Linked DNA regions of Notamacropus eugenii. The protein of the gene in region 4 interacts with the protein of the main gene of each other region in a biochemical or structural test. Links are inferred from orthologs where the notes say so. Each region holds a gene or a part of one and is shown on either strand. Other genes may lie near its edges.

The links.
Region 1: the proteins of NET1 (region 4) and DLG1 form a complex in vitro, tested with the Homo sapiens proteins (3 studies listed by BioGRID and IntAct, with this or other methods). The link is inferred for Notamacropus eugenii from reciprocal best matches to the Homo sapiens genes NET1 and DLG1.
Region 2: the proteins of NET1 (region 4) and MAGI1 form a complex in vitro, tested with the Homo sapiens proteins (3 studies listed by BioGRID and IntAct, with this or other methods). The link is inferred for Notamacropus eugenii from reciprocal best matches to the Homo sapiens genes NET1 and MAGI1.
Region 3: the proteins of NET1 (region 4) and DLG3 interact in a test that uses a peptide from one of them, tested with the Homo sapiens proteins (2 studies listed by IntAct, with this or other methods). The link is inferred for Notamacropus eugenii from reciprocal best matches to the Homo sapiens genes NET1 and DLG3.

The regions. Positions count from the first base shown.
Region 1 is NC_092877.1:387,070,961-387,078,832, reverse strand, and holds the start of DLG1 (disks large homolog 1), read right to left. Parts: upstream 3,015-7,872; 5' UTR 2,804-3,014; coding exon 2,785-2,803; intron 2,653-2,784; coding exon 2,521-2,652; intron 1-2,520. UniProt on the Homo sapiens protein: Essential multidomain scaffolding protein required for normal development. Recruits channels, receptors and signaling molecules to discrete plasma membrane domains in polarized cells.
Region 2 is NC_092874.1:458,065,245-458,072,652, reverse strand, and holds the start of MAGI1 (membrane-associated guanylate kinase, WW and PDZ domain-containing protein 1), read right to left. Parts: upstream 3,016-7,408; 5' UTR 2,217-3,015; coding exon 1,904-2,216; intron 1-1,903. UniProt on the Homo sapiens protein: Plays a role in coupling actin fibers to cell junctions in endothelial cells, via its interaction with AMOTL2 and CDH5. May regulate acid-induced ASIC3 currents by modulating its expression at the cell surface.
Region 3 is NC_092879.1:100,486,428-100,493,690, forward strand, and holds the start of DLG3 (disks large homolog 3), read right to left. Parts: upstream 3,014-7,263; 5' UTR 1-3,013. Other genes in the region: glycerophosphoinositol inositolphosphodiesterase GDPD2, read right to left, coding at 4,533-4,641, 4,746-4,781, 4,962-5,044, 5,196-5,343. UniProt on the Homo sapiens protein: Required for learning most likely through its role in synaptic plasticity following NMDA receptor signaling.
Region 4 is NC_092874.1:209,073,495-209,081,194, reverse strand, and holds the start of NET1 (neuroepithelial cell-transforming gene 1 protein), read right to left. Parts: upstream 3,010-7,700; coding exon 2,846-3,009; intron 1-2,845. UniProt on the Homo sapiens protein: Acts as a guanine nucleotide exchange factor (GEF) for RhoA GTPase. May be involved in activation of the SAPK/JNK pathway Stimulates genotoxic stress-induced RHOB activity in breast cancer cells leading to their cell death.

The DNA.
Region 1 (7,872 bases), on a different chromosome or scaffold from region 4:
GAGGCAAGCAAAAGGTTTTCAATGGAGGGGAAAAAGGGGGAGGTGAGAGGGTAAAAGTGAAGTTTTTTTTTAGGAACCCAGTGAAGGGTTGAGTGCAGACTCTTGGATGGCTCCTCCACAGTACAGCCTCACCACAGCACCTAGGCACAGCCCTGGGAGACTTTGGTATCTTTGGCAGGCACTGTACTCTACTTTTTTTATGCTTTAGGAGACCCCAGAGGACTCATTAATAAAGATCGACTAATCAGGAATGTCAAACGCCTGAATTCCACCACAAAAACAATTTCAGGTGGGCAGTAAAAAGCCCTTAGAGGTTTACAACATCTTCTTGGAGTCCAAGGGAGTTGCCAAACTTGACTGTTTTTGAGAGCTGGGGGCCCTGTTATTCATATTACCCACCTCTGGGGAAGCCTTAAAACCAACAGGAGAGAGACGTGGGTTCTGGAGGTTTCCTGAATCCACAATAGGTGGGACCAGCAGGGCAAAGAGAGGAGGGGCCCTATGCAGGCCAGCCCAGGTTTGGGCACCATACACTCTGGGTGTGACGGATCTGAACTTGATTCTCCCTCCTACCAGCAGGTAAGCTTCTTGGGAGCAGCCACTGTATCCCTAGCACCTAACCAAGAGCAAGCACACAGTAGGTGCTTAATAAATGTTTAATTCAATTATCCTGTAATTTTCTGTGGTTTGCTTCTCCCTGATCAGGTCCTAGGCACTTGGTAGAGTGCTTGCTTTCTCAGTTATAGGGAATCCACTTCTATAGCTAATTCTAGCAGTCCCCACCTCTGACAACTAAGTACTGTTAGTCCTGTGTCCCATGAAAAGGAAGGCTTTCCTGCTGAGGGAAACCCCTCAATCTGGAGCCCACAGTCCTCCATCTTCTCCAGCAGACTGCCCCCATCAGCCCTCCTCTCTGGCACCTTTCATGTTCCCGTCCCTGCAGCGGCCTCCTCACCCTGCACGGTCCACCCTTGTCCCTCTGTACCGTCTCCCTAGGTGCCCTCCTCAGCCCTCCTGGGCTCCTACGAAGATGATTCTCAGATACGGAGCTCTGCTCCACCTGATGCCTCTGGGCACCTTGAGCTGGATGTCCATAGACATCTCACCGGCTTTCCTGGACGTGACAGGTCACTGCTAATTCATCCTGAATCCGCAGGCCACAAAAGCCCATCCCATCTTGTTCAGAACAGCTGCCTTTGCATGAGGTCCACTGGCACAGACAGGTCCGAGACTTCACACTGATCTTTACTGCAGTGCATCGACTGAACCTGGCCCAACACTGGGGCCTCTCAAGTCCTTTCGGGCTCGGTTGTCCAGGGTGTCCGCTGTCCCTCCCGGCTGGACGCGAAGAGCCTGCCTTCTGTCCTTTGATCCAAAGAACTGAGAAAAACGGTCCACCAGGGTGAAGGCCTCTTGGCACAGAACCGCCCACTGTCTCAGTTAACCAGTCTGGACCCTTCTGGCTTCTCCACAACAGCAAGGGACGCCCCCGGAAAGCTCTGCTAGGATCCGGTACGTTCCTCTGTCAAGTGAAACGCTCCTCCTTCTCCTCACCCGAATCCCAGGCTGTGCCCTCACTCCTCTGCCCTGCTCGGGGTGGCCTGGAGCCAAAGTCCTGGGTTCCAATCCTGGCGGCCCGCCCCGGCTGAACTGAGTAGTCTTGGGGGGCCCCTGCCTCTAGCAGCTGCAAGCCCTCACTCCGGGAAGGAAGGGGGGTGCCTGGGCAGGTCAGCCTGGAGACGGCTGGGCGGAGCCGGTCCGAAGGCGGCGGCTGAGGTCCACAGGGCGATCCGGCTAGGAGGTGCCCCGGGCTCCCGGTGGCGCCCCAGCTCAGCGGGCTTCGGAAGCCTCCTTACCCCGAACCGCTCCTCACGGCCCTGCCTGCCCCGGGCCGCTCCCGGGCCGCACGCGCTCGGACCCCACCCGAACCGGGGACCGCGGACCCGCACGGGCACGAACGGTGCGTGCCACCCCTCGGCCAAGGCCGCAGCTTCCCGCCTCTCTGCCCATCACCAGGCGAGGAGGGGAGGAGCCCGGGCGGGCAGCAGGGGGCCGAGGGGGGCGGAGGCTGTGGGTCGGGGTCCGGGCGGAGCGGGGCGGAGGCCGGCCCAGACTGACCCCCCCGGGGGAGGGGCTCCGCTGCCCCCTTGCCCCGAAGGCCCCCCCCCCCCCCCGTCCTCCAACTCCAAGAGGGTGCCAGCCTTTGCCACCCCTCCTGCGTGCCAGGCACCGCGCTAAGGGCGTGTCCGTCGTACAGCCCGCAGGAGACCACCCTCCTTTAATCCCAAAGGGGTGCACGGGGCCCCCCCTCCCGCCAGGCCCCCCGCAGCCCCGGGGCGCTCCCTCTCCCCCAGCCCCGACGGCGTCCGCGCCTTTACCTCGGGCGGGGAAGGGGAAAGTTCCGAACTTGGCAACTTTGTAACGAGCGGCGGGGGCGGGGGCGGGGGCGGGCCCTCCCCTCCCCTCCCCTCCCCTCCCCCCTCCCCCGCCCCTCCCCTCCCCCGCCCCTCCCCCACTCACCGAGGAGCGCGTGGAAGAGGCTGCTCTGGAAGATGCCGATGACGCGCTCGAGGGAGCCCCGCAGCGGCCGGTCGTGTGCGGGGCTCAGCTGCGCGCGGTACTCCTGCAGCAGCCGCAGCGCGCGCTCCGTGTCTGCGGGGACAGGGCGGGGGGCAGGCGTCAGCGCGCGGCGGGGCCGCCCCCTCCCCGGCCCCCTCCCCCGCCCCTCCCGCGCCCGCCGGCCTCCCCTCCCCCTCCCCTCCCCCTCCCCTCCGGGCCGCTCACCTCGCTTCCGAACGGGCATGGCTGGCGCGCGTCGGCCCCGCCTCACGCCCGCAGCGCCATCGCCGCCCGCTCCCCGCGCGCTCCCCGCCCGCGCTCCCTCTCTCTGCCTCCGTCTCTCTCCGTCTCTCCCTCGCCGCCGCCGCCGCCTCCCCTTCCTCCTCCCCCTCCTCCTCGGGCTCTCCCCTCAAACTTTCCTCCAAGATGGCGGCCCCCGAGCCGGACGGCCGCGCCCCCACGTGACCGCCTTCCCCCGCGCCGCCAGCCAATGGCAAGTGAGCGGGCGGCGGCGCGCGCCCGAGCGGCCCGAACGCTCGGCAGCCCCGGAGAGGGGGCAGGGGGCGGGGCCCTGGGGGCGGAGACGCTAGGGGGCGGGGCCCGTGGAGGGGCGGGGCGGACACTCCCTCCCCCCCGTGGAGCGGGGCCGACGCGCCTTAAAGGGCCCGCGAGCCACAGGTGGCAGCCCGACCGAGCCGGTCTACGGGCGGGGCCGAGCCGCAGGTGGGCTGGCCACGCCCCGGGGCGGGGCCCGGAGGAGGAGCCGCCGCTGCTCGTGGAGGTGGGGGTGGGGGAGAAACCCCAAAGGAGCGCCCAGGTCTCGGGCCGGAGCCGAGGGGCTGGGGGAAACCGAGGCCCGGGGCCGCCCCGAACCGGGCTTCAAGGGCTGCGGGAAAGCCCCCGAGAACCCCCTCTGTGAAGGACCCGCGGACGACGGACGGACGGACGGACGGGGCTTCTCGCCCGCCCCGCCTCCTCTGGCCGCGCCCCGGGCCCCCTGCTGTGCTTGGACCGTGCGCGCCCCCCCACGTCACGGGAGCCCGAAGCTGGCGGACCCCACGGGGGGCAGGGGAAACTGAGGCACGGAAAAGTCAGCCAGGGTCACGCGCCTGCCGACGTGCGCAGGTGTATGTGTGTGCACGCGTGTGCGTGTAAAGTGCCCCCGGGACCCCCCGGCGCTCCTGGCAGCGCTGAGGTAAATCCGTTACTGCCCGTGACAACCCGGTGAGGTTCGGTCCGGTCCGGTCCCGCCAGCAGGGTCAGGCCCCTGTCGCGATCCTCCCGCAGACGCAGCCCCAGCCCGGCCCTGCGCCCCGCACCTCCGGGGGGTCACTGTGTCCTTGTGACCCCCACTTTCGCATCTACACCATGACAGGGTCGGCCTTGGCGGCTCCGGCCCAATTCCCCGAACCTGTGGCTCTGATCACTTTGTCATGGAAAAAAATTGATCAGACTCTCCCTTAGAAAGTCAGCGGGACTTGGATGGGCAGGGAAGCGGCCAATGAAGGAAAGAGGAGGCCTGCTACGTCACACACCTGTGCGAGGTGTGTGAGGTGGAAGGACAAACGGCCGGAGGGCCCCGAGAACCGCTGTTCGCAGGCCCGGGAATGCAGGAGACTGGGCAGGCGACCCAGCATGGACACGCTCGGTGCCGGCTCGTGAGTGGGCTGTGAGGCGGGCCACCCCTGGGCAGCAGCTCGGAGTCTGGCACCGAAAACAACCAAGCGCCACCCTCCTGACCCAGTGGGCTGTGAGGCGGGCCACCCCTGGGCAGCAGCTCGGAGTCTGGCACCGAAAACAACCAAGCGCCACCCTCCTGACCCAGGAGCCGCGCTGCTAGGCACACCTCAGAGGCAGGCCGCCCGGCCGTGCCCACCCAACGCCTGGAGCAGCCCTTCTCGTGGCGGCCAACCTGGGGGAGGGAGAGGCACATCCTGTGGCTGGAACAGTCCGAGCAAGGCTCCGTGTCCCTGCTTCGCAGCTGCGGAGAGCCAGGCCTCAGGGGCAGGAGCAGGTCCGGAGGAGGCCTGTTGGATCAGTCGCTGGGTCGTCAGAGGCGCTCTACCTAGATGCCCACTGGTGAGGTGGGGTTGTGCTGCGACTGCGAAGAAGGCCAGTCGTGTCCCTGGTTTGTGTAGAACAACCAGGAGGCTCGGAGCACTGCCGCAGAGGAGAGGTGGCAGTCCAGCCTCTCCAGGGAGGGATTCCCTGACTCCTCTCCCCACCCCACCCCCACTTCCCCATTCTTGGAAGGTCGAGGCTTTGGACTCCCAGCAGCGTCCTTGGGACAATCATGGTGGGTATCACTGTCCGCATTGGGAGCTGAGGACAAACTAGACCCATTAAGGAAAGGCAGTCACTTCAAATCTCTGTGAGGATCCCATCAGGCAGCTGCAGGAGACTGAAGGGGAACACTGTGAAGACCAGCAAAAGGGCCTCTGGGAACCCAGAGTGTGAGCCTGCTTTCCCCAGGACGCTGTGTGTCCTTGTGAAATGGGGTGGTGGGTACAACCTTAGTAAATACCCCTATCTAAAGGCTAATTAATCTGATTGACTCATTGACACCAATTGCTAGTCCTAGGCGGAGGTGCAGGGAACTCGAGTAGGAGCTTAGGAGCTAAGTTCTAGGGACCTGACTTAGCAGTGAGAGTTGAAAGCTGAGAGAGTAGCTCACGATCCCCATGGCATGGTGGCATGTGAATGCACCAGAATATTACTTACTGCCCCATTAGAAATGGCAGATATAAAGAATATAGAGAAGGACACAAAAACCTAAGAACGGATACAAAATGAAGAACACCGAACCAGGAAAATGATATACCCAGGACTACAGTAGTGGACATAGAAAGGACAGTGTCGGTGATGGAAACTCACCAACATGGGATCATAATTGAAAATTCATCTTCCTCCCCCTGCTTCCTGTGGGAGGAGGGGGCTGCCTTAGCAATACAGGCTTCTAGACCCTGGGAAGATGATCTGGTAAGGCCCAAAGCCACTGATTGGTGAGTAAATGAATGTCTACTGGCTGGCCCTCTACTTACTGTTTAATCATTCAGTCAGGTCTGACTTTGTGTTTTCTAACTCTCTAGGGTTTTCTTGGCAGAGATACTGAAATGTTTTGTCATTTCCTTCTCCAGTTCATTTCACAGATGAGGAAACCAAGACTTACCCAGGGTCACACAGTTAGTAAGTGTCTGAGGCCAGAGTTAAACTTGTGGAGAATCTTCCTGATTCTAAGCCCAGTGCTCTGTCCACTGCACCACCTGACTGCCCAAGACGCCACCCAGACCATCTTACTCTAATTCCTCACCTCTGGCCACTTCTCCACCACACAGATTGCCTTCTCCTGTTAGAAAATCGGCTCCTTATATTTGTACCTCAAGGACTAATGCGTTTTTCCATTCATTCACGATGGTGTGTTATTTAGTTTTGTTGGATTTTCTTTCATTCTTTGTTATAAGGGACATGGGAATTAAATTGGTGATGAAGATGATATAAAGACAGGAGATCAATACTTTTCTTTTTGAAGCTAGTGGAATTACTTTGGCAGGTGGGAGACTAGGGGAGCCTTATCAGGCATGATTAGGATGTTGCTTTTCCTGGGCTGTTTCCCTGAAAGCCAAGAGGGAGACCCTGGGTTCCAGGAGAAACAATTTCTTCTCAGGTTTTTCTGGGCTTGTTCTGAGGCACTTCCTCCAGAGCGAAGAATAAAACTGGGAACCCTCAATTAGACCTGATAAAACACCGCTAGATTATCGTTAGATCATTTCCCCATCATCACTCATCAACAGCCCTATGAAGTAGGCAATGCTAACATGATTATCCCCATTTTATAGATGCAGAACTGAGGTTCTGAGAGGGGAAATGCCTTTTATCCAGCCAGTCATGCAGCCAGGTCAGGCTGCTGATGGAGACAGGCTGCACTCATCAAAGGAAGCCCTTATTTAGGAGGCTATATAACCCCATGTCCTCAGGCACCCCAGGACAGGACAGGAAATGGTGCTCAGAACATTCTCCCCCATTCCCCCAAAGCAGGACTCCGTCTTATACGTGGCAGCAATCGTCAGTAAGGACTTGGGGCAGCTTTAAAATACTTGTTCCTTGTATTAGGGAATCCAGGATGACAATGAGGATTCAAAAGATCTTTCCATGCTTGAATATTGGGCCAAATCTAATTAAATGAAATGGAATAAGGATAAAGTACATTTAGACTTGAGTTTTAAAAAGTCAGCTCCACAAATGTAAGATGAAGGAGATGTGTGACTAATGGAGCTAGATGGCAATTTATCTGAAAAAGATTTGAGGGTTAGAGTGAACCACAGGCTCAAGGATCAGCAGGGAGTGGTGTGGCAACCCAGAAAGCAAATGCCATCTTGGGCTGCATGAAGAGAGGCACAGTGTCCAGGAACAAAGAGGTGGTGGTACCTCTGTCTTCTGTCCAGCCAAGACTCCATCAGGAATTTTGTTCAGCCATTTCAGGCATGTCCAACTCTTCATCACCCCATTTGGGATTTTCTTGGCAGAGATACCAGAGTGGTTTGTCATTTTCTTCTCCAGCTCATTTCACAGATGAGGAAACTGAGGCAAACAGAGTGAAGTGACTTACCCAGGGACACCCAGCTAGTAAGTGTCTGAGGCCAGATTTGAACTTGGCTCTTCCTGGTTCCCACCCCAAGGCATTCCATCAAGAATTTTAGACTATCCATTTCAGGAAGGTCACCCATAAGCTAGAGAGTGTCCAGAGGAGGGCAACGGGAGAAGAAGGTCCCTGCGTCTATGTTAGATGAGAATTGGTTAAAGCGACTGGGGCATGTTGGTCTTGAAGAGAGTTAGGAGGGATCCGGACCCTGCCTATGTGTGTGAAGGGTGCTCCTGCAGCCACATTAGACACGAGCCCAGAGGGCACAGGGAGTGGACAGAAGCTGAACAGAGGCGGAGCTAGGCAGGCTGGCTCCTCCCTCATCTGAGGACCACCTCCAACAGAGGTTGCTCACTTCTCACCTGTGATCCTGCTTTCTGCAGGTGGGCTAGGTGGCATCGAGAGCCCCTCTAGCCTGGAGCTCCTGGGATCTAGACTACAGGCTAGAAGGAGATGGAATGGACCTCAAAGAACAGGGTGCTGAGTGATGGTGGCAGAGGGAGCATCTGGAGGGGGCAGCAGGAAACAAGGGATACTTAAGAGGGATAGGTGGGGTGTGAAAAAGACCCAGAGATAGAGAGGAAGAAAGGAGACAGAGACAGAGAGATACAAAGAGAGAGAGGAGAGACTGTGCTGGGAGGAGGTGAGAATGGGTGGCCACATTGGTTAAGCCA
Region 2 (7,408 bases), about 250 Mb from region 4:
GAAGTGACCTAGGCAAACTTCAGAAATAGCTCTAGATCCACCTTTCCTTTGGCAATCTCCAGTGACAGCCAATTGCCATCCCCCTGAAACATTCCAGGATGGGGAGAAAGGCCCTGAGGAGGATTCTGCCTCCAGGGCATCTGTGAAAGCCCACAAAGACTGACTCAGCAACTTACAAAGTGAGGAGGAGATCTGGAGCTGGGGTTCCCAAGCCAGCTAGGTCAAAGAGGGAGTTCACTTTTCCCTTTAACCCAATCACCTTCAAGCAGTTGATTCCAGTCATTTAGACCTACAGGTATCAGTTAAACGCAGTTATTTAAGCCCTTCCTTCAAAACTTTCTCTAGCCCTAATAACGTGGATAATTGATGTAAGGAACAGTTTCCTGGCATTCAATGCTTGTTGTGTCTCTGAAAGTAAGAAAATCTGTTTTAATCAAGTCTCCAGGGGGTCATACAGAGGCATAGATGGGGGGAGGGGATGGAGAAGGGAGTGGTCTTTATGCATAGCAGGATTTTCTCTCAAAAATCGGAGGAAAATAGGCAGCAAAGATCCCTCCACAGCCACTCCCTTCATCTGGATAAACCCTCTTTCAAAGAGAAGAGGAATTGCCCATCCCAGCCCAGATTCCTCCTTCCTTGCATACATTCCAGACAGCTCTGCAACCTGCCTTCCCTTTCCAAGCAGGCTGTCATCTACAAGGGGGAAGTTTTCATCACGGTCAGTAGAATCCAACCTCCTTGGGCGGTTCATCCCAAGGGAGTATGGTGGCTGGCTGCCTTTCAGAGTTACACAGTCATGCCCCTCTGAGACCAAGAGTTTCTGTAGATTATGGCTTTTCCCCAACTCCAAAAACTGAACACCAAGTCCTGAGGCTGGGCCCCTTTTAAGCAATTTAATGTCATTCCTTAATGAGTGGAGAACAGGGCTCCTTTAAAAGCTGACTCAGGGGCAGACAGAGGGCATTCCTCCTTCTCCTTCAGCAGGTGCTATGATCCCCTTTTCCAACCTTTCAAAGGGTCACTAACATTCTCCATCAAACCACCTTCACTTGATCTACCCAAAAACACACACAAAGTCTCTCTCAATCATCACTTCTGCTTAGAGACAAGATCCTTGGGCTTTGACTTAAAATGCTTGTGCCAAAGAGAAATAATCGAAGATAAGAATTGGGAAACACCTGAAAACCTATCCCACTTTGGAGAAATCCGTAATGTGAAGGGATGTTTGGGGCCAACAAAAAATGGTCTAACAGGACTATGGGTCACAGTCCTGTGATGAGGGGATGGGATGCGAAGGGGGATGGGGAGGGAGAGACTGGATAAAAAGAGAAGTTAAACTACCCCTCACCCAATACTGGGACTCTAGATTGGGCAGTCAAGACACAGAGAGACAGAAAGGAGGGGAAGGGGAGTGAAGATGATGATGGACAGGCATATGGTACCTCCCACACACCTTCAATTCTGACCACGTATATGGGGGTGGGGGAGGAAAGGGAGATCGCCTCCCCTCCATTCTACTTTTTGCTGGGAATCACGTACATTAGTCTCAGCATCCCTACCTAGCTTCCCCCCGCCAAGGCTGAGGGGCACCTTGCTGCTAACTTGGACCTTGGGCATAATAACGCCGTCACCCAGTCAAGCTCATCTGCCAAGCCCCGCAAAGTTTTTTCAGGCGGAGTACGGCCCCCCTAAGGCCTTGGGGACAACTTGAGATTTCTCGGATGTACTGGAGGGTGTCAGACTCCACTTCTCTTCCCCCTGGGCAGAGAGGGTAGACAGAGGTGTGAGGCACCCCTAGGGGAGGGAGGGGCTTGCGGTCCCACGTCCGCTTCCCCAAGGTAGGGGATGGCGAAGGGGGGGTGTGCTCATAACACCACCATCAGCCGCGGCCCCTCCTTCTCACCTGGTCTGACGGCCTTGAAGGTGACGGACTCCTTGCAGCTCTGGATAACTCCCAACACGTCGTAGCGGGGCAAGCCAGACACGCGAACCCCGTGCACCTCCAGCAGCAGCTCGCCCTCGCTGAGACTGGTGCCCTCGCCGCCGCTGGCAAGCCCCAGCTCCCCGTCCGGCTCCACGGAGCCCACGTAGGGGAACTCGCCGTACTCGGCTCCCCCCAGGACGGTCAGCCCCAGTTCGCCCTGGGGTCCCCGGCTCAGGGTGCACTGATGCACCTTGGTGGTCCAGTGATTCTTCTTCTGGATGACTTTCGACATGGTGCTGGCCACGCGCGTGGCGCCTCCAGACCCCCGACCCACACTCGAGTGCACACGCACACGCGAGCGGACCCGCAGATACACAGGAATGCGAAACAGGTGGCCCCCGACAGCAGCAGCAGCCCCCGCCCCGAAGATCAGCTGGGGCGCGGAAGGGGCATGTCCCCAGAGGGCACCCCCAAAGACAGAAGCTACGAAAGAAACTTTGCGGGCTCGCCCTCCCCCAGCTCAAGCCATCCTTAGGCAAACTTTCTCAGCGCCTCCGGGCTCCCGCCCCTGCCGGCGGCCAGCTTTGTTTGCATTCCAGTCCCGGGAGATCCACGCTGCGCCAGCCGGCCCGGGGCGCCCGGGGAGCGCAGCCCACTTCGGGCTGGTGCCTTCCTCCTCTCTCTCCCTCCTGGCTCTCTGCGCGGTGGTCTTCCTCACGGGCGCTCTGCTCGGTCGCACTGTCTCCCGAGGTGGGCTTCAGAAAGGGCTAGCCTGGCTGGACCAGCTTCCCCGGAGCCCAGAGTCCGGCTCTAGGTGGAGGGCACGTCGGAGGGGAAGGAGGCGGGAGGCGGGAGGGAAGGGACCGCGGCCCCTTTAAACAGCTACAAAGGCTCGGCTTGTTTTGTTACATTTCATTCTATTCCGTCCCACCGAGCTCCACGACCGGCGATAGTAAACGCGCGCGCCTGCGCCCTGGAGCCGCTAGCTCCTTCCCTGCCCCCTCCCCTTCGGAGGAGATTCCAACGTTCTTCCCGCTGGGTCCTAACGCCGCTCAAGTCCAGGCGCAAACTTCCCCCCTCCCTCTAATGCCTCGGTCCAGCAACTTCGGAGAGGCTGGTAGTTTTCCTTCCCCTCCCCCCCCCCCCCCCCCGCCACCCTCTTCCCCGTTCAACGTCTGTTTCCAACTTTTTTTATTCTTTCTCTTGTACCTGTACGATTTGGAATGGGTTTAGTCTGGGCCAGGCTCGGCGGCCGGGGTTGGGGTCCCCTTGCGCCGCTGGACAGGCAGGCAGGATCCAGCGCGCAGGCACGCCGACCCTGAGCCGATTCACCTCCCTTGGCCAGTGGCCAACCCGGCTGCCAGTCAGGGAGCCGGCCCAGCCCGCCCCTCCCTTTCCCGCTTGGACTCTGACTCCCCGAGGCCAGCCGGGGAGGCGTGGGGACTGACTGCGCAGGGCTGGCCCGGGGGAGGGCTGAGCCAGCTGATCTGCCCCACCGGCCGAGAACCGGACGTACTGTGCACACCCTGGCCTTGATCTCCTGCCCTAGGGCTAGGCGGACCCGGGTGGCCCAGGGCCCTGGCCGGGCTGGGTGGCTGGGCTCTGCTCTCCTCTCTCCATCCCCCGGGGGTGTGGTTCTCCTTGGGGACCAAAGGCGAGCCCATATGGGCTTCATATGAGCGTCACATGTTGGTAAACGACTTCTTAAAGAACTCCCGGAGCAGTGGAGAAAGCCCCGGATCGTAGAGTCTGAAGATCTGAGTACGAATCCTCACATGGCTGTGTAATCTTTCAACGCGACCTTGCACCAACCACTCATCTGTCTGGACCGTGATTCCTTCATTTCTAAAGTGCGAGGGTTGGACTAAATCATCTCTAAAGCCTTTCCAAGTTTCGATCCGAGATCCTAGCGAGACATCAAAAAACTGATCAAGAAACGCATTTGGGGGGAGTTGGGAATTCGAGTTTTTAAACCCTTGAGTTCAGTAGCAATTCTTCTAGTGTCTCTGTGTGACCACTCTGTCCCCTGTAACCCAGGCTTTGCCCTTTGGAACCTTTCAGTTACTCAATCGCCACAGACAGTGTTTTCGTGGCTGTTGATGAGTGTCCCAGGACTTTGTAGATGAGGCAGGGTAGCATGGAATGTAAGCAAGGAAAAGGCTAGTCGCTGCACTTGTTTCTAACCATGCCTGCCTCTGAGGTGCCCTTCTTACTGGCAAAGTGCACTAGCACTCTCTCCCCCATCGTCTTTTGCTCGTTTGCTCATCTCTGCTGAAGAGTCCTTGCCCGGGTGTTGTAGAACTGATTTCTGTTTCGAGAACTGCCTGGAACAAACCCCAAAGAACCAGAGGTGGCTAGCTTCAGACTCACAAGAAACCCCGAAATTGAGCAATATGGAGGGGATTGGAGGAAATATTAAATTACTGGAGAGGGAAGATGTTTGATAGAGTCACCCAGAGCTTCAATGGTACAGAATGTTGTATATACCCTTGCACGGAATCAGTTGTGAATACTTACTCTTTTTTCTCTGTTACAAGAAAGGTTCAGTTTTGAAGAAGTAAGGAACATCTGGAAATGACTGATAGAAAAACAAAAGGCATTACTAAAACTTTAAACACATATGTACATATACCTATATCTTCTAAATGAAAAGTTTGCATTAAAAACCCTAAAGATCATGTTGAGTGATCCCAAAATAATAGATAGCGTGTGTATCTTGTTTTAAGGTTTACAAAGCACTTTACGTATGTTAACTCATTTGATCTTCACAACCCAAGATGCTATTATCCCTTGCTAACAAATAGGGAAACTGAGTGAATTTAATTTGAGTCAATTCACTTTAAGTCAAGTGAATTGTCCAGGGTCACACAGCTAGGAAATATCTAGTCAAATTCTACCTCCAGTCTTCCAGACTCCAAGACTTACATCTAACTTTATGGGCCAATCAATCAACATTTATTAAGCACCTACTATATGGCAGGCAAGACAGTCCCTGCCCGAAAGGATTTAACAATGTAATAGGAGAGACGATGTGCAAGCACATATATGAAAAGCAAGCTAGATACAAGTCTAATTAGAAATAATTAACAGAGGGAAGACGAGTATTAAGAGGGTTTGGAAAAGCTTTCCAGTAACAGATGGGATTTTAATAGGGAATTGAAGCTGGGGAAATCAGTAGGGGGAACTGAGAAAGGGAGAGCATTCCAGGCATAGGAGACAGCTAGAGACAATTCTCAGAGCTGAGTGATGGAATGTCCTATTCTAGTGTCAGTGGATCAAAGAGTACATGGTGAGGAGTAAGGTATCTTGTTTTAAGGTTTACAAAGCACTAAAGTTTCAGAAGACTGAAAAGGCACAGGGGACTAGGTTATAAAGGGCTTTGAAGGTCAAGCAGAACAATAGGGAGCTACTGGAGTTTATTGAGTAAGGGAGGGACATAGTTGAACCCACACTTTAGGAAAATCACTTTGGTGGCTGAATGGAGGATGGATTGGAGTGGGGAGAGACTTGAGGCAAGCAAACCTGCCTATAGGCTGTTGCAATAATCAAGGAGTGAGGTGATGAGGGCCTGCACCAGTGTTGGTGGATGCAAAGGGACATATTCTAGAGATGTTGCAGTGGTAAAATCAATAGATCTTGGCACTAGCTTAGTTATGGGGGTAAGAGACAGTGAGGAATCCAGGATGACTCCTAGGGTGAAAGCCTGAGGGATGGGAGGGTGGTGTTGCCCTCCACGGTAATTGGGAAGGTAGGAGATAGGGAGTATTTAGAAGGAAAGATAATGAGCAAGGTTTTGAATATGTTTTATTTAAGCTGTCTACTGAATATCCAGTTTGAGATGTCCAAAGGTCAGTTGAAGATACAAGATTGGAGGTCAGCAGAGAGATTGAGGAAGGAAAGGTAGATCTGAGAATCATCAGTATAGAAGTGATAATTAAATCCATGGGAGATCATGAGAGTTGGTCCAGTGCAAAGAATGCTGAATTTATACTATATATGAAGACCAGGGTTTAAATCCTAGCCCTGTTACTCATGATCTCTTTGACCTCAGAAAAATCATTTCACCTCTCTGCGTCTCAGTTACCTCATCTATAAAATGAGGAACTTGAAAAAACACTCATCCAAAGATCTTTTCACTTCCAAACCTATGATGCTTATGAATCACAAATAAGTAAAAGAATCCTTTTTCAAAAGTGAAATTCCAGTACTCCAATGTTGTGTCAACACCTTGGTTTTAGAATACAAAATTAATACTATCTTGGCACATATTTCCATATTTATTAGGCAACTTGCAGGACCTCATTAAAACAAGACAGAGTGAAAATGAAAAATCAAGACTGGGAAGACATTGCCCTTAAATCCTCATTTTGCCTGATGGGTTTGATGAAAAAAGAAACTGGCCAATTCTTTGGATTTCCCTCATGTAGTTGGGGAGTGGGCCTCAGGTTTCACTTGTCCATCACTAGAACTAGTTCTGGAACCATTCACCTGACTTGACCTCACTGCTTCAGGTGGGCCCCCACCCTGACTGAGCTTGTGGGAGGTGGGTTGTCTTGCAGTCAAGAAGGTCCCTTCTGGGCTTCTTCCTATTCTACCATGCTGTCGCCCTCTCCTGGTTTCCCTTAGTCTCTGCAGCCAGGAAAAATTGAACCAGACTGGAGAAAAGAAACAGAGAGGTTCCAGGCATAGTTTTCATCCTAGGCAAAGAAACAGTGATGAATGAGGAAGTGGAAACACACAAGAATTTCAGCAGCCAGATAAAGAGACAGGGGAGGGAGGCAGGGATGTGGGGGAAAAAATAAGCACACAAAAAGTAGCCAAGGATGCCTATTTTAGGGCACTCATTTCGGGATGTTTCCAAATGCTTTCCCATCCTCTTACTTGGCTTGCCTTCTATGTTTCCTCAATGGGAATACTTCCTCTGACTAATTCCCATCTGAAAAGTGGGATGGGAAGTTGAATTGCAAAGTAGACAACTTTTGACGCAGATTCAGGTCTGGATCAGCTCTGGGTCCAAAGAATAAGAGATGGTATGTATACAGCTCTTTGAGGTTGGCAAAGTCAGGAAGACTTGGATTCAGGTCCCACAATACTTACTAGCCATGTGACTCTGAGCCAGTCTCTTAGCCACTTTATAAAAGAGGGAGCAACTCTAAATCTATAATCCCACCAACCCTCAGAGTTCCATGCCTCAGTTTCCTTATCTGTAAAGTGTAGATAAGGTGGCCTCTGAGGTTTTCTCAGGCTTCAGATCTATGATCTTGAGTAGAATCATGGGGTCATGGGTCTCTATGTATGTTTATTAAGCATTTAATAAGCATTTATTAAGCACCTGTTATGTTCCAGGCATAGTACTGGATGACTTTAAAGGCCACTAAGCCCAAATCTACCATTTTATACATGAGGAAATTGAGGTCCAGAGAAGCCAAGTTGCTTACCCAATGTCACATAGCTAGTACAGGAAACTGAATTTGAACTCAGGTC
Region 3 (7,263 bases), on a different chromosome or scaffold from region 4:
TTGCAGGAGAGAAGCCTTGGAGACAAATCTAGGCGACAGATCTCAAGGCTCCCAGAAGAGCAACATCTGCACTGGTGGGTGCTGTGGCTCAGTCCCAGCTCTCCCACCATCCCAAGATCCCAGAGAGAAGAGAACTGAGTGGGGGGCGGGGGGAGCAAAGCATGAATAAAAAAGCTAGCTGGGCATGGGAGGGCTGCTATAGCTGAGGCACAAGGGTGAGCCATGGGCAGTATACTGGAGAGTGAGTTGGGAACGAGATGGGCCTGGGGCTGGAAACTTGGGGGAGGGACCAAAGAAAGAGCTTTGGTTTGGCTCTAGGAAGAGCTGAACTCCCCAGCAAGTGAGAATTTTCAGAACTAGATCTGCCAGCTCCTATGATGACCCTGACCCCCAGCTCCAAGATGTTTCAGGGGAGGAGAGAGGTCCTCCACGCTGGACTAGCCCAGAAAAGTTGGCCTGACCCAGAGCTATCTCCTCTGTACATTCAAACCACTTCTCTGTTTCTAAAGGGAGAGAGAACTGTTCAGAGGGAGATTTGGGGGTCTGGTTAAAGCCCCCCAGATGCCTCTAGGACCTGGGAACAACCTCTTAGGAGTGGCTGCTCACTTTTCCTTGGGGCTAGCCAGGGAACTCAGTCAGATTTGGGAAGTACCGCTCCAGGTTCCCCAGAAGACTCATTAGGAAATGCTTGGATCCCAGAGCTGGTCAGGGGCAAAGATCCCCTTTGCCTGCCTCCTCCCCCCAGTCCTGGAGGGAGAGAAGGGGTGCTGTTAGCATCTTGGGGAGTCTCTTAGAATGTAAGGAACAAACAGGTGAGGTCATCTTCCTCCCTATGGTTACAGTTATAGGACTCAGTCTGGACATTATGGAGAAGGGAATAAATGAGATGTATCAGGAATGACTGAGGCCAGACTTCAAGCCAACAGACCTGGTTGGAATTCCACCTCGAACCCTTCCTAGCTTCCTGATACATCCAATGGGGCTAACCCCCTCCCAGAGCTTCTGGAGATTAGGATGCTCTCCTAGGCCACCTCCCAGGCCAATGAAGGACTCGGAATTAGGTAGGAAATGAGCTCTAGTCCTGCCAACACCAGATATTTTCTGGGTGACTTTCTGCAGGTCCTTTCCCTGCTCCGGGTCTCACTTTCCCCCTCTGTAAAATGAAGCAGGCAGAGTCCTAAGAATCTGTAGGTCTGTCTCAACACCAGCAAGTTATGCTCTACTCAGATTAAGGGTCCCAACCTCCAACTGCAGAAAGACAGACCTCCTGACAAGGTTAAGAGGCCCCACAAGCCTGCAGGTGGTCTGTTTGTTGCTAGGCAACCAGCCAGGCCTAAGCCAGAGCTGAAGGGGGTGGGGGGAAGTTCAGTGGGATTTTACCACCCCCTCTCTCCCCAGACACATTGGAACCCTAGGCCTCTGGAAGGGGAGGTGAGTGGGTGTTAATGGTGCCCCCATCTGTTGGCTGATGCCTAAAGTTTCATGCTCAGCTCATGCTGGAAAGGAAATGGAAGCTCCAGCCCTTTGCATACAGAGCTCCTAACTTAGCTGAGGCCTACTTTCCATTTTCCTTAAACTACAATTCGGACACTCTGGGGGGAAGGGCCTGTGGCAAAGAGGTTGATGGGAATGAAGTCCTGATGGGAACCTGAGGGGAGCTCTGTGCCTGCTGGGCATCCCTGCTGACAGGCCACAAGGGCCTGGAGACCTACCTATTGGGGCACCTGCTGTAGCATCATGGAATTGAGGCACCGGGACCTCAGGCTCATCCCAGGTCCCTCCCGCTTCCTTACTGTCCCTGGTCATTCTCCCTCCCCCCTCATGGCTACCACCCACCATCATCCGCACCTTGTGCCTGGACCAGGGGTGGGGAACCTTTGGCTTTGAGGTCCCATGTAGCCCGCAGCCAAAAAGCCACACCTGAGGACCTAGAAGGCCATCTCAGTTTCTCCACCTCTGGCTGGGACTGTGGCAGCAGCCTCCTTCCTGGTTGGGCTCACTGCCTTCAGTCCTTCCCTTCCACAGCTGCACAGCTGCATGAATCATCTTCCTAAAGCCCAGTTCTGCCCATGCTCATGCTCCTGGGAAGCTTTACTGGTTCCCCATTATTGCCTCTAGGAGAAAATGCACCTTCCCCACGCAGGCATTTAAAGCCTTTTACAATATGGCTTCTAATGGTAGAGCCTTATTGCCCTTTCTCCTCCCCCTCCCCCCTTAACCCTGTGGTCCAGCCAAACTGACCTTCTCACTGTTGCTCACATGACACACTATCTCTTGCCTCTGGATCTTTGCCCAGGCTGTTCCCCTTACCTGGAATGCCCTTCCTCCTTCTCTGTGCCTCTGAGAATCTCTGAACTCTTGCAAAATTGAGCTCAGGTGCCTCCTTCTATGGAAAGTGTCTCCTAAATCCCTTAGTGCTCTCTCTCTCTATCTCACTAACTTGTTTTGTGTTTGCACTTTGCATTCCACAGTAGAAGGTGGCTGCCTGGGAAGGCCTTTTTTTCCCAACCTTATCTCTACTGCACAGCGGATAATCCATGTCTGTTGAATTGAATTGAGAAGGTGCTGAGACATCAGAGCCTTCTAGCAATGGCCAAGTCATCTCCCCTTCATCAGTCGAGGAGGCCGAACTCCAGTGTTTCTAGGGCCTCTTCCAGCTGTGATTCTGTGACTTCAGCCTTCTCCCTCCTGATCTCTGGTCCCTTCTGCTGGCAGCTTCTCCCCATCTCACTCCTCCTAAGTTTCTCTTAAGAGCAGAAGGTTCTGGGCTGAGGATATCCCCCAAACTGAACTGTTTCCGGCCCTGGCCCTGGGGCCTTCACTCTGGACTCCACATATGCCAGGTGCCTGGGTGTTAGGTGAGGAGCTGCTCCCAAGGGCTCCAGAAAGGGCTTCCCCCTTCCAGGCTTCTGAAGTAGAGTATCTGTTGCAGCCCCTGTCTGGGTCCACAGTATCTCCAAAGGGCATGACATGGAGACAGATCCTAGTTTCATGTGGCCCTGAAACTGATCTGGGTTGGAGCTCAGCAACTGCTCTATTAATAGCCCCCAGCCCAGCCCGCTAGCCCCAGCCCCGGATGCCAGGAGTTGTGAGTCAGCAGCTAAAAATAATGGAGCAGGAAAACTCGAACCCCAGTGAGCCAGCCCTCCCTGGGGCTTAGGACTGGGGACTGCAGGTCTGTAAGCCTTAGAGCTGTAAGGATGAGGATGCAAGAAGCTAAGGTGCGAAGTGGGGGAGAGAGCAGCTTGTTTGGGTGATAGGAACTCTGATTTATCACTGGGGGGCTGGGAGACAAAATGGAGACAGATGTATGGAAAAGATTGGGTTAAAAAACCAAAACAGAACAAGCCCTTCCCCAGCCTGGGACCTGCCCAGTCCCTCCCATCAAACACAGTTTATCTTCCCATCACTGTATCCAGAGCTACAGGACAGGCTACTCCTCTGTGGGGAGCTTCCCTCCATATCTAATTTCTTTAAGTGAGGGAGGGACAAAGGGAGGAAAAGAGCTGGGAGTCTCTTGAGCAAATTCAAACATTCCCCCGCCAGTCAAGATGCAGCCTGGGCTGTAATCCCTGCATCCTGTTGCTGTGGCCACAGGCAGGTGCCTTCCATTGAAAATGTGGGCCTATGGGTACCAGTGCTTCAGAGGACCTCCCAACCACAGAATCCAAGTGCCCTAGTCAATAGCTTGTCCCCCCTCCCCCAGCTAAGCCAGACAGGAGCTATGGACTTAGTAAAGGAACATGAACCCAGCCAGCTTGGAGGGGGCCTGAGAGGGCCTCCTCCTCAGCTCTCTGGTTCCCCATCTGCAGCCCAGTGAAAACTTGTTCTGCTTTTCTTGGCTGAGCAGTGTCGGAAGGAGCCAAGTTCTGGAGTATTTGGAGGCAGAGGACATGGGAAGGAGTACCTTAAACAAGGGATTCTTGGTCCTCTTCAGAGCCCCAGTTTCTCCATCTATAAAGAAGAGTTTGGACGACAAGTGGTCTCTGTAACAGATGGGGAAACTGAGGCTCCAAGGGGTTATGTGACTTGGCCAAGGTCTCACAGTATCAGCGCTGAGATTTGAACCCAAGGCCTCTGGCTCCAAAACCTGTGCCTCTCTCTGACGAGGAGTCGCTTTCTCGCTGAACCTCGGTTCGTTTCAGGGGTCTCTAATGTCCTTCTTAGCTCTGCCCCTGATATGATCCGCGAGAGGCCAGGAGCGGCAGAATCAGGGTGGGGGGCGGCCTCTGGAGCCAGGGCTCCCCAAGGTTCTGGTCCTCAGGAGCTGTGAGCACTAGGTGGTGCTGTTGGGCAGCTAGCGGCAGTGATGGTCCCTGTCCCCACCCCCTATATCCCTGAAGGCAAACGAGCAGAGCCGATGTGGGGGATTGGAGGATTCGATTCATTGACTGACAGAAAGAGCCAGAAAGTGCGCTGTCCTCACCATCCCAAGAGCGCGCGGGATGCAGGCTAGCCTTGGAACATTCCAGTTATCGAGGAATGGCCAGAGTGGTACCCAATTTCCCACTAGAAGCGGCAGCATCTTGGAGTCAGAGGCCAGTGGAGGTTCCAGAAGGGGGTGGGGTTGGAGGTAACAGGGGCATCTCACTCATTCCAGCCTGAGGTTGATCTTGGTCAGCAGCACAGCACTCTCTGAGACTGGAGGAACACACCAGGCATGAGAGTGGATGTGGGAGGGAGTGGTGGTGGCAGGGGCAACAGGGAGGCCAAGGAACCAAGACCCAACATGAGGAGCACTGTACCTCTTACCAGGTTTCTCTTGCTCCCTGGCACATTTCCTTTAGGGAGGAAAGGAGCATACCATCAATCCAGGTAGCTTGAGCTCCCCTTTCCCTCAAACACTCCCAGTTTGGGGGCCACCCAATAATGTGGCCAAGGACCTATTGGACTCCAAGCCCTGGTGGCACCTAGTGCCATGACACCACAGGGAGGGGAGGGGATGCAGAAAAGGCACTTACCCCTGGAGGAGGAAGATCCAGAGGAGTAGCAGGGCAGATACACAGTCTGCCACAATCCAGATCAGTAGGTAGGTCTGGGGGCGCTGTAGAGACATTTATGAGTGAACCTTCCCCTGACATACTTCACTTTATGTGAGGGGGCAGGGGTGGGAGAGTAAGAGTTAGGGGTTAAGGGAAGGTCCAGATGGTAGCGGAGGGGGCAGGTAGAGAGGGAGGGAAACCAACAGTCCTTACAATGAGCCAGACAGGATGGGGCAGCTGCTGCAGCAGCTGGCAGGCATTGGTGGTGACTGAGGCAGCCCCAGCACACCAGAGAAGGGAGAAGAGCCAAGGCTTGTTCACCACAAACAGGTTCACAGAAATGTTGTCATGCTGCAGGAGCCTGTGAGTGATAGAGAAAGAAAAGGTTCCCACAGAAATGGATCATGGGTCACAGACTCCATGGTGCCTCCAGGCTCATCCCTTCTCCCTGCACAAGTGACTAGCAACCTCTCCTCAGACCCACCATCTTCACAGCAGAACTCAGGAACTGTCCCTCCAAGCCCACTCCCTCCTCCTGAATCCTCCCATGGCTTCCCAGCACTACCAATCATTCCCTCAAGCCCCTCTCAACATTAAATTGGTCACCAATTCCCATCCAGTTTTACCTCATAATATCTCTTCTGTCCTCTCCTTTTTGCTCCCACCTTAGTCTGGAACCCCATGACCTCTCACTGAAGCACTGCAGTGTTCTACTACTCAGACTCTAGCCTCTGGTCTCTGCCTCTTCAATCCAAGATGTCACATGAATCTTGCTACATTTCATTCCTTTTCTCCAAAGCTTTCAATGATTCCCCATCTGCCTTCATCAACAATCTGGTCACATATCTACCTTTCAAGCCTCCTAGATCCCTTACAAAAACCCTTTTAGACCAGTGCCTATTATGGGCATGGCATTGTAAAGTCCAGAGAAGGCTGAGATGGGGATACAGCCTGGACACTGATAAGTCAGTCCAGGGTGATTTCAAGGACAGAGTACTGACAACTAAAGAGAAGCAGGATGGGCTGACTGGAAGACGTGGCACAGATGATAAGCCTTGAAGGAAGCCAAGGATTCTGAGAGGCAGAGCTGGCGAGTGAGGGCATTCCAGGCATAAAGCACGATCTGTGCAAAAGTGTGGAGGCAGAAGCTAGCGTTTACTAAGAGAGCAACATGAATTGTGACTGCACAGGATGGGAAGGGCTTTCATGGCCAGGCTGAACGGTTTGCAATGTACCCAGTCACACACCAACACACCAGGCCACCTATCAAGGCACCCTGCCATCTACCAATGCATCCTAAAGGCAATGGGAAGTCATCTCAGCAAGACTGGCCAGCTTTGGAAAGATGTATTAGAGAGAGATGAGACTGGAAGTCAGAGCATCTTGCCCTAGTCCAGAGGCTGAATGAGGGAAGTAGCGGCAGGGGGAGGGTGTCAGAAGAAGCTGCCAAATAGAAGGAATGTTGGGAAGGAAGAATTGAGAGGATGTGGCAAATAACTGGGAGGTTGGGAATAATTGAGATGAAGGAATTACAGGCTTTGAGCCTGATCAACTGGAAACGGGGAAGCCCCGGGAAGGATCTTCAGTTCAGGGTGAGGACACAGAGCCAGGAATGGTCAGCAGGAAACTGTGTATTCAGGACTGCAAGTCAGGAGAGAGATTAGCTATGGGTCGAGAAATTCGGGAGTCATCTGCATTGGGACAAGAAATAGTTAAACCCACGGGAAATGATGAGATTGGCAAACCTGGCACCATCCACACGAAGGGGGAAGGAAGGAATCAATCACCCAACAAAGACCACTGAGAACTGAAAGAGAGGTGCCAGAAAGCAGGTCTAGGAGAAGAGCACAGCCACCTGGCCATTGGAGTCACACTGCAAATGTCTGAATGCTAATAAGGAAGTGGAGGCAAAGAGTATAGACCACTCTGTCCCAGGGGGCAACTGTGAAAGGGGAGAGAGATATTGGAGGAGAGCTTGAGGGGATGGAAGGGCAAGTGAATTTGTTTGTTGGATGTGTGAGAGTTGAGCGTGCTGTTAGTGGGCAAGGAAAGCCACGGAGAGGGAGTGATGGAAGATGAGAGAACAGTGTCACATAAAGTAAAATGGTGGCCTTGATCTCTTTTGCTTGTCTCATCTATAAAATGAGCTGGAGAAGGAAATGGCAAAGCACTCCTGTATGGGAGAAGGAGCTGCCCAGCTCCAGAGGCAGGGACAGCCTTACTTAGATGATCATTTATCTTGTCATCACTGTGCACATCTCTCTCCAGCTCTTCTTATGAG
Region 4 (7,700 bases):
TGAGGTAACGCCCATTCAGTGAATAGGCCTCCATAAGAAGTAGTCAGGGAATTGCCCTTTCAATGAACAAAAGAAAAAATATAACTAAATCAAACTGGGAGGGAAAGAGCAACAGTTACCATTGATAATCACTCTTTAGACCAGTAAACAGCCATTAAGTGGAGTTTGGGAAGGGACCTACTGTTGTCCAATCTATAGCTTCAAAGTGCACAGGGTTTAAGGTTTTGGGAAAGACAAGAAAGACAGAAAGAAAATAAAACCCAGCAGGAAGACACAGAAAGAGAAATTTCATTTAAAATAACTGCAGACAATATAAAATATGTGGGACTCTACATGCCAAAACAAACACAGGAACTATAGGAACACGATTATGAAACATTTTTCAGACAAAGTCAGATCTAAACATGGAGAAATACTAACTAAAACAAACAAATAAATAATTTATTATTAATATTAAATATCAAATTCATGTTATGAAATATTAAAACTTTAAAAATGGTCAAAATATAGCTATAAATATATTAATATATTAAATTAACAAATATCAAATAAGTAATAAAATAAATAAAAATTAATTATTAAAAATGGGGAAATTTTAATTGCTCATGAGCAGGCCAAGCCAAAAAAATATATATATATATGAGTGTCAATTTTACCTATTATTTAGCATCATACCAAACTACCAAAGAATTATTTTATAGAGTTAGAAGACAATAATAAAATTCAACTGAATGAACAAAAGTTAAAAATATCAAGGGAATCAATGAAAAAAATATTAAGGAAGGTGGCCTAACAGTACCAGATTTCAAACTACATTACAAGGCAGTAGTTATCAAAACAATTTGGTACTTAGCTAAGAAAAAAAGTGGTTGGGTACAACATACAGTAGTAAATAACTATGGTAATCTTGTTGAGTCAAGCCTTACTCTTCATGACCCCCCATGTGGTTTTCTTGGCAAAGACAATGAAGAGGTTTGCCATTTCCTTTTCCAGTGAATTAAGTCAAACAAAGGTTAAGTGACTTGCCTAGGGTCACACAGCTAATGAGTATCAGAAGCCACATAACTCAGTTCTTCCTGAGCTGCTTCCTAGTTGCTTCCCCTATAGTAATCTAGTGCATGATAAACCCAAAGATCCAAGCTTTGGGGGCAAGAACTCACTCTGATAAAAATTGCTGGGAAAACTGAAAAGCAGTTTAGCAGAAACTAGGCAGAGACTAACTTTTCACACTGTATACCAAGAAAAGGTCAAAATGGGTAGATGATTTAAACATAAAAGATGATATCCCAAGTAAATTAGTGGAGCATGGAAAATTTTACCTGTCAGATCTACGGATAAAGGAACAGTTTGAAGATCACAAGCCATAAAGAGGATAATTATGAGTACATCATGGTAAAAAGGTTTTGCCAAAATTAGAAGAAAAACATGAAACTGGGGGAAAATTTTTTTTTGCAGTAAGTTTCTCTGATAAATGTCTCATTTCTCAAATAAATAGGGAACTGAGCCAAATTTTTAATAAGAGCAATTAGTTTTCCAATTGATAAATAGTCAAAGGATATGTGCAGGTAGTTTTCAGAAGAAATCAACTCTGTTAATAGTTATATAAAAATGGTCTGAGTCATTAAGGTTTAGAGAAATGCAAATTAAAACAACTCTGATGTATGACCTTACATCTATCAAAGTGATTAACATGGGAGAAGAGGAAAATGACAAATGCTGGAAGGGATGTGGAAAAATAGGGACACAGGCACTGTTGGCGGATTAATGTGAAGTGGTATAACCATTCTGGAGAACAACCTGGAACTATGTCCAAACTATACATATCCTTTGACCCAGCAACCCATTACTAGGTCTACAGACCAAGAAAAGTAAAGAGGAAAGGGTTTATATGTACAAAAATATTTACAGCAATTCTTTTTTTTTTTGGTGGCAAAGAACTGGAAACTGAGGGAATGTTCACCAACTGGGGAATGGCTGAATGAATTGTGGTATATGATTATGACTGGAGTGCTACTGTGCTATAAGAAATGATGAGGGGGATGGTTCAGAAAAACCTGGGAAGACTCCTATGAACTGATGCAAAGTGAAGTCAGCAGAACCAGGAAAGCACTGTACATGGCAACATTTTAACAACCGCCAACTGTAAAGAACTTGGTTCCTCTGATCAAAATACTGATTCAAGACAATTCCAAAGGCCTCCCTCCTGCTGAAAAACTCTACCTCCAGGGAGGTGCACGGTGAAGCATACTTTTCTCATCTCTATTTCTCTTGCTTTTTTTTGCAACATGGTTAATATGTAAATATATTGTGCATGATTTCACTGTGTATAAGTGAACATTGCTGACCTTCCCAATGACTGGGGGAGGGACAAGAGCAAGGTGGGGGTTTGGAATCCAAAATTTAAAAAAATGAATGTTAAAGTGTAATATATAAAAAGGGGGTACTGGATCAGATACAAACATGTAAGGTTCTATTCTGCACCAAATCTTCTATTTCGTAAGATCACTGGATCAGAGATGGAAGGAACCTCAGAGGTCAAGTCCAACCTTTCATTTTACATATGAGAAAACTGAGGCTGAGAAAAGCTTAAGTGACTTGCCAAGCAAGGATCTAAGGCAGACTCCAAACCCAGGTCCGGACAATGCCCGGCTGGGCACGTAGGGTGCCTCTGCCAAGGGCTCCTTCCACTCTTTGGGGTGGGTGGGTGCCTGCTGACCCTCAGGCCCCCCAGGCAGGCGAGGAGGGGGAGGGGCCCGGCCTAAACGTAAGCAAGCCTCCCCCCAGCCCCGCTCGGCCCGAGGCCCCCCTCCACCGTCCACCCCAGACGCTCCTCCAACGCACGCACCTTCTCCGCGGGTCAGGCCCGGACGCGGGATCGTCCAGCCGGGCCTCCGGCTCGTCGGCGCTATTCGTGCGGGATGCGGCGGCTCGGCTGCCGCGCCTCCGAGGCGGGCGCTGCTCGGGCTCCGGGGCCGGGCTCTCCGCTGCCGCCGTCGGCTCCACCTCCATGGCCGTGGAAGAAGGATGGGAGGTTACAGGAAAGATCTCGGCGCCGCGGCTCCCCAGGGCTGGGCCGAGGAGAAGAAAATAGGGCCCGGCCTGACGCCTCCGCGGAGGGAAAGGGGTTTGTGTCAGGAAGGAGCCACCATAGCCAACATTACGGGGTTTGAAAAATGGCGGCAGGGCAGAAGCCGGCAAATCAGCGAGGCTCCGGAAGGCGTTGCTAGGAGACGCAGGAGAGCCCGCCTCCTGCGGGGCCGAGTGTAACCGGGGGCGCCGCCGCTGCTCCTCCAAGGAACCCTCCAAGTGGGGGGAGGGGAGCGGCCGGAAAGAGAGGGGAAGGGAAACGGAGGAGGGAGAGCTGGGCGCAATTAACTATTTCCTATAAAAAAATTTAAAGGGCTGACCGCGGGTACGTCATCCATCCTCATGGAATGGACTCCTCATTCATCCCCAGCTCCTCCGGGAATTTCCGAGCTGGAGGCCATCTCGGCGGCCGTGTAGTTAAATCCGGACCTAAACTAGAACTTCTGCCCAGGAAAAACGATCATCTGGGCTTTGATGAACTCCGGCGAGCCGGGAGCCGCCGCCTCCGAGGCAGCTCTTGGCACTTGGGGATAACTGGTTGTTACCTTACGTGCAGATGACGTTTGGTATGGTGACAAGATCTCAGCTGGGGAGTCAGGGAAACGGGGTTCACATTGGTACTGGACCCCTTCGCGTCCCCGCCTGGCAGCACCCAGCCCCGAGGGTCAGTTTCAGAAGAAACTGACACGAGGACGGGGGGGAGGAGCTTAAGTCACAAATCCGGGGGCTCCAGGATCACGTCTGACATCCTCTGACTTTAAAACCCCTCACCACCTAGCCCTTTACTACTTTTCTAATCCTACTTTTTTAAAAAATGTGTTTACACATCGTGTAAAATTCTCTGCTGCCTACCATCCCAGAGAACCAACCTCACTTTTTATTTTATTAGAAGACTCTGCCCCTACACAGAGTTTTAAAGTTTTTTTAATTTTAATTCTGAAATGTAATGCTCGTCTCCAGCAAAACAAAAAGAGCCACTAGAAAAAGATTTATACATATGGGACTTTTTTTCTTTTGGGGGTGGGGGTAGGGGACCTTTTTGGACGTGGTTCCAAAGTGCTTTCCAGAATGGCTGGAGCAGTTCACTGGTGTACTTGTACCCTTACCCCAGTGTTTGCTTTTCCCCCTTTTTATCACCTTTGCTAGTCTGTGTGTGAGTGAGATGGAACCTCAAAGGTGCTTTAATTAGCACTTCTCTAATTATTAGTGATTTAGAGAATTTTTTCTTAGGGTTCTTGATAGCTTGGATTTCTTCCTTAGAAAACTGCCTGTTCATACATATCCTCTTATCATCTACAAGTTGGACTCTTAGTCTTTATAAATTTGAATCAGTTTCTTATAAATTTTGAATATGAAATCTTTATTAAAGAAACTTAATGCAAAAATTTTTGCCCAGTTACTCATTTCCCTTCTAAGTTTAATTACATTAGATTTATTTGTGCACTAGCTTTTAAACTTTATATAATCAAAATTGCCCATTTTATCTTCATGATAGCTTCCATTTCATAGATCCTAAAGATAACTTTTTCCTTGTTCCTATAATTTATGATGTAATCTTTTTTAAAAAATGTGAATCAAGTATCCATTTTGGTTTTTTTAGGTTTTTTTTTTGTGTTGTTGTTTTTGTTTTTGAATTTTATTTTCAGTTACAAATTCTTTCCTTCCCTTCAGCCCTTCACCCATCCATTGAGAGGGCAAGAAATACAATACTCATTGCACATATGAAATCATGCAAAGCATTTTTGCATTGGCTATATTCCCCATCTCCCCCCAAAGAAAATTTAAAAAGGAGGAAAAAACATGCTTCAATTTGTACTCTCCCAGTCTATCAGTTTTCTAAGTGGAATGGATCCATTGTAGTGGATTATTGTATTGTCCATTTACTAAGTCTAGAAGGAAATGGCAAACCATTCCAGCATTTTTGCCAAGAAAACCCTAAATGATGTCATGCAGAATCAGATACCACTGAACGATAACCACAACAGAGTTGTTTTTTAATGATAGTACAATTTGAGATCTTATACCGGAACTGTGCAACTTGGCAATAGGTAGGGGCCAGAATTAAAATAGGTTAAACTTCTTTGGGCTGCGGAGAGGTTTTTAGTGGCTCACTTTCCAAGTAAAGGTATATAATTAATCATCAAACTATTTCTCAAAAAACATTTTTAAAAACAATCAGGACATAATCCAGAAACTGTAATTAGCAAACACTTTTTGAAATCACCTTCAATAAAAGACTTCCCAGTAGCAGCAATTTCTTTAGAAACCTGAAAACTAACCTTAGTAGCTGCCTCATTTTCTGAGTTTACTTTCTTGAAAAACCACTGTTCTCCGCTGAGATTTTTCAACAATTTGAATGCTTCATTTGTTTTTCTTTGGTGTCCAATTTTCATAAGTCAGGAGGTTTTCATTTTAAATGGTGATGAAGAGTATATTCCTTTGGAATGGCTATTTTCAGCAAACAAGGCACAATATTTTGTCTCTCGTGTAAGTAAACTTGTGTCTATTTGTCCACTCCAGATTAAACACTCTATGTTCTGATTCCATCTTCCATTTCTTTTTATCACCCATTTTACAGTTACCCCAGAAACTTTAATGTTAGAGACAAAAAATCTCCACAGCAACTGCTCACATCCAAAGAAATACTGAACTGAGTGTCTGACCTTGGAGAGAGCACTGGACACTCATGTAACTTGGAGGGTGACTGTGCAGCGAGGGAGGAGAAGAAACCCTTAGGTGGTTGCTGCTCATTGCATAGTGGGCATCAGCTGCATTGGCACATTGCTACTCTCACTTTGTCTCTGTTCAACACCAGTAATGACCAAAAACACAGTGAAAAGATATGACTCTCCTCTCAGACTAGAGACAGATTGACAATGGTTGGTTGTCTTGGGTCATGTAACAGATAAGATGGGAACAACAGTAACTAGTGGAAGGTGGGTTACACTGGGGGAGGGGAGGTAGGTGGGCATGGACAAAGCACTCATTGCATCTTTACTTTCTCTTACAAACTCAACATTTTTCACAGGCCACCTGAAAACTTTTGGTGGGCAGCATGTAGTACTATTTTTACTAATGTCATAATAATTTACTTTTTTTTTTCATTTCTTCCATTTTTTTTCATTATTACTCTTGGGATTCTTGACCATTGAATCCTGCAGATAAATTTCATCATTTTTCTAGCTCTATAAAAAATTTCTTTGGTAGTTTGGGTACAGGACTGAATAAGTAAATCAATTTCTATTTTTATTATATTGGCTAGACTAACTAAGTGCAATGAATATTTCCCCAGTTGTTTATGGTTGTTGATAGCTTAGATTTTTTTTTCCTCCGAAAATTTTTTATTCATATCCTTTGACCATTTATCAATTGAGGAATGGCTCCTTTTTATATATTTATATCAGTTCCCTACATATCTTAGAAATGAGACAATCAGAGAAATATGCTGCAAAGATTTTTTCTCCCAGTTTTCTGATTGTGTTTTAATTTTAACTGAATTGGCCATTTTATGTAATTAAAACTATCCATTTCACCTTCTGTGATTCTCTTTATCCCTTATTTGGTCATGAACTCTTCCCATAGCTATAAATCTGAGAAGTAATTTCTTCCTTGCTCCTCTAAGTTGTTTGTGATGTCACTCTTTACATCTAAGTAATGTAACCATTTGAAGTTTATCTTAGTATAAGGTACGAGATGCTGGTCTATATTTAGGTTCTGTTAGACTGATTGTCAGTTTTCCAAGCAGTTTTTGGTGAATTGTGAGTTCTTTCTCAATGTCTGGGATTTTTGGGTTACTCAATAAGTTTCTGTGTGTGTGTGTGTGTGTGTGTGTGTGTGTGTGTGTGTGTGTGTGTGTATATATATATATATATATATATATATATATGTAGAGAGAGAGAGAGTGTACCTAATCTGTTCCACTGATTGATCTCTCTATTTTTTAATTAGTACCATTTAAAAAAATGTTAATTGCTTTGTAACATAGTTTGAGATGTGATATTGCTAGGTCCTGTTCCTTCCTAATACTTTCTAATTAGTGTCGTTGGGATTCTTTTGTTCCTACAGATGAATTTTGTTATATTTTTTTCTAGCTCTACAAAGTAATCCTCTGGTGGTTTGATTGCAATGGCACTAAGTAAGTAAATTAACTTGTTTTATTGTCATTTTTATTGTTTTAGCTTTGACTAACCCATAGCAATGAATAATTATCTGATTGTTTAGATCTGTATTTATGTAAAAATTGTTTCAGGTTACATTCACATCACTCCTGTATGTGTGTCTTGACAAGTACTTTATAGCTCCTAAAATTATTGTAAATGAAATGTCTCTCTCTTTCTCTTATTTCTGGGCTTTGTTGGTAATATACAGAAATACTAATGTTTTATTTGGGTTTATCTTATATGTGTGATTTTGCTGAAGTTAAATGTTTCAATTAATTAATTTCTTTAGTTGACTCTAGGGTTTTATAAGTAAATCATCATGTTATCTTTAAAAAATTATAATTTTGTCTATCATTATTCCTTCCATTTCTTATTCTTATTTTATTGTAATAAATAGAATTTTATGTACTTTATCAAATAGCAGTGTTATTAATGGACATCCTTGCTTTAATT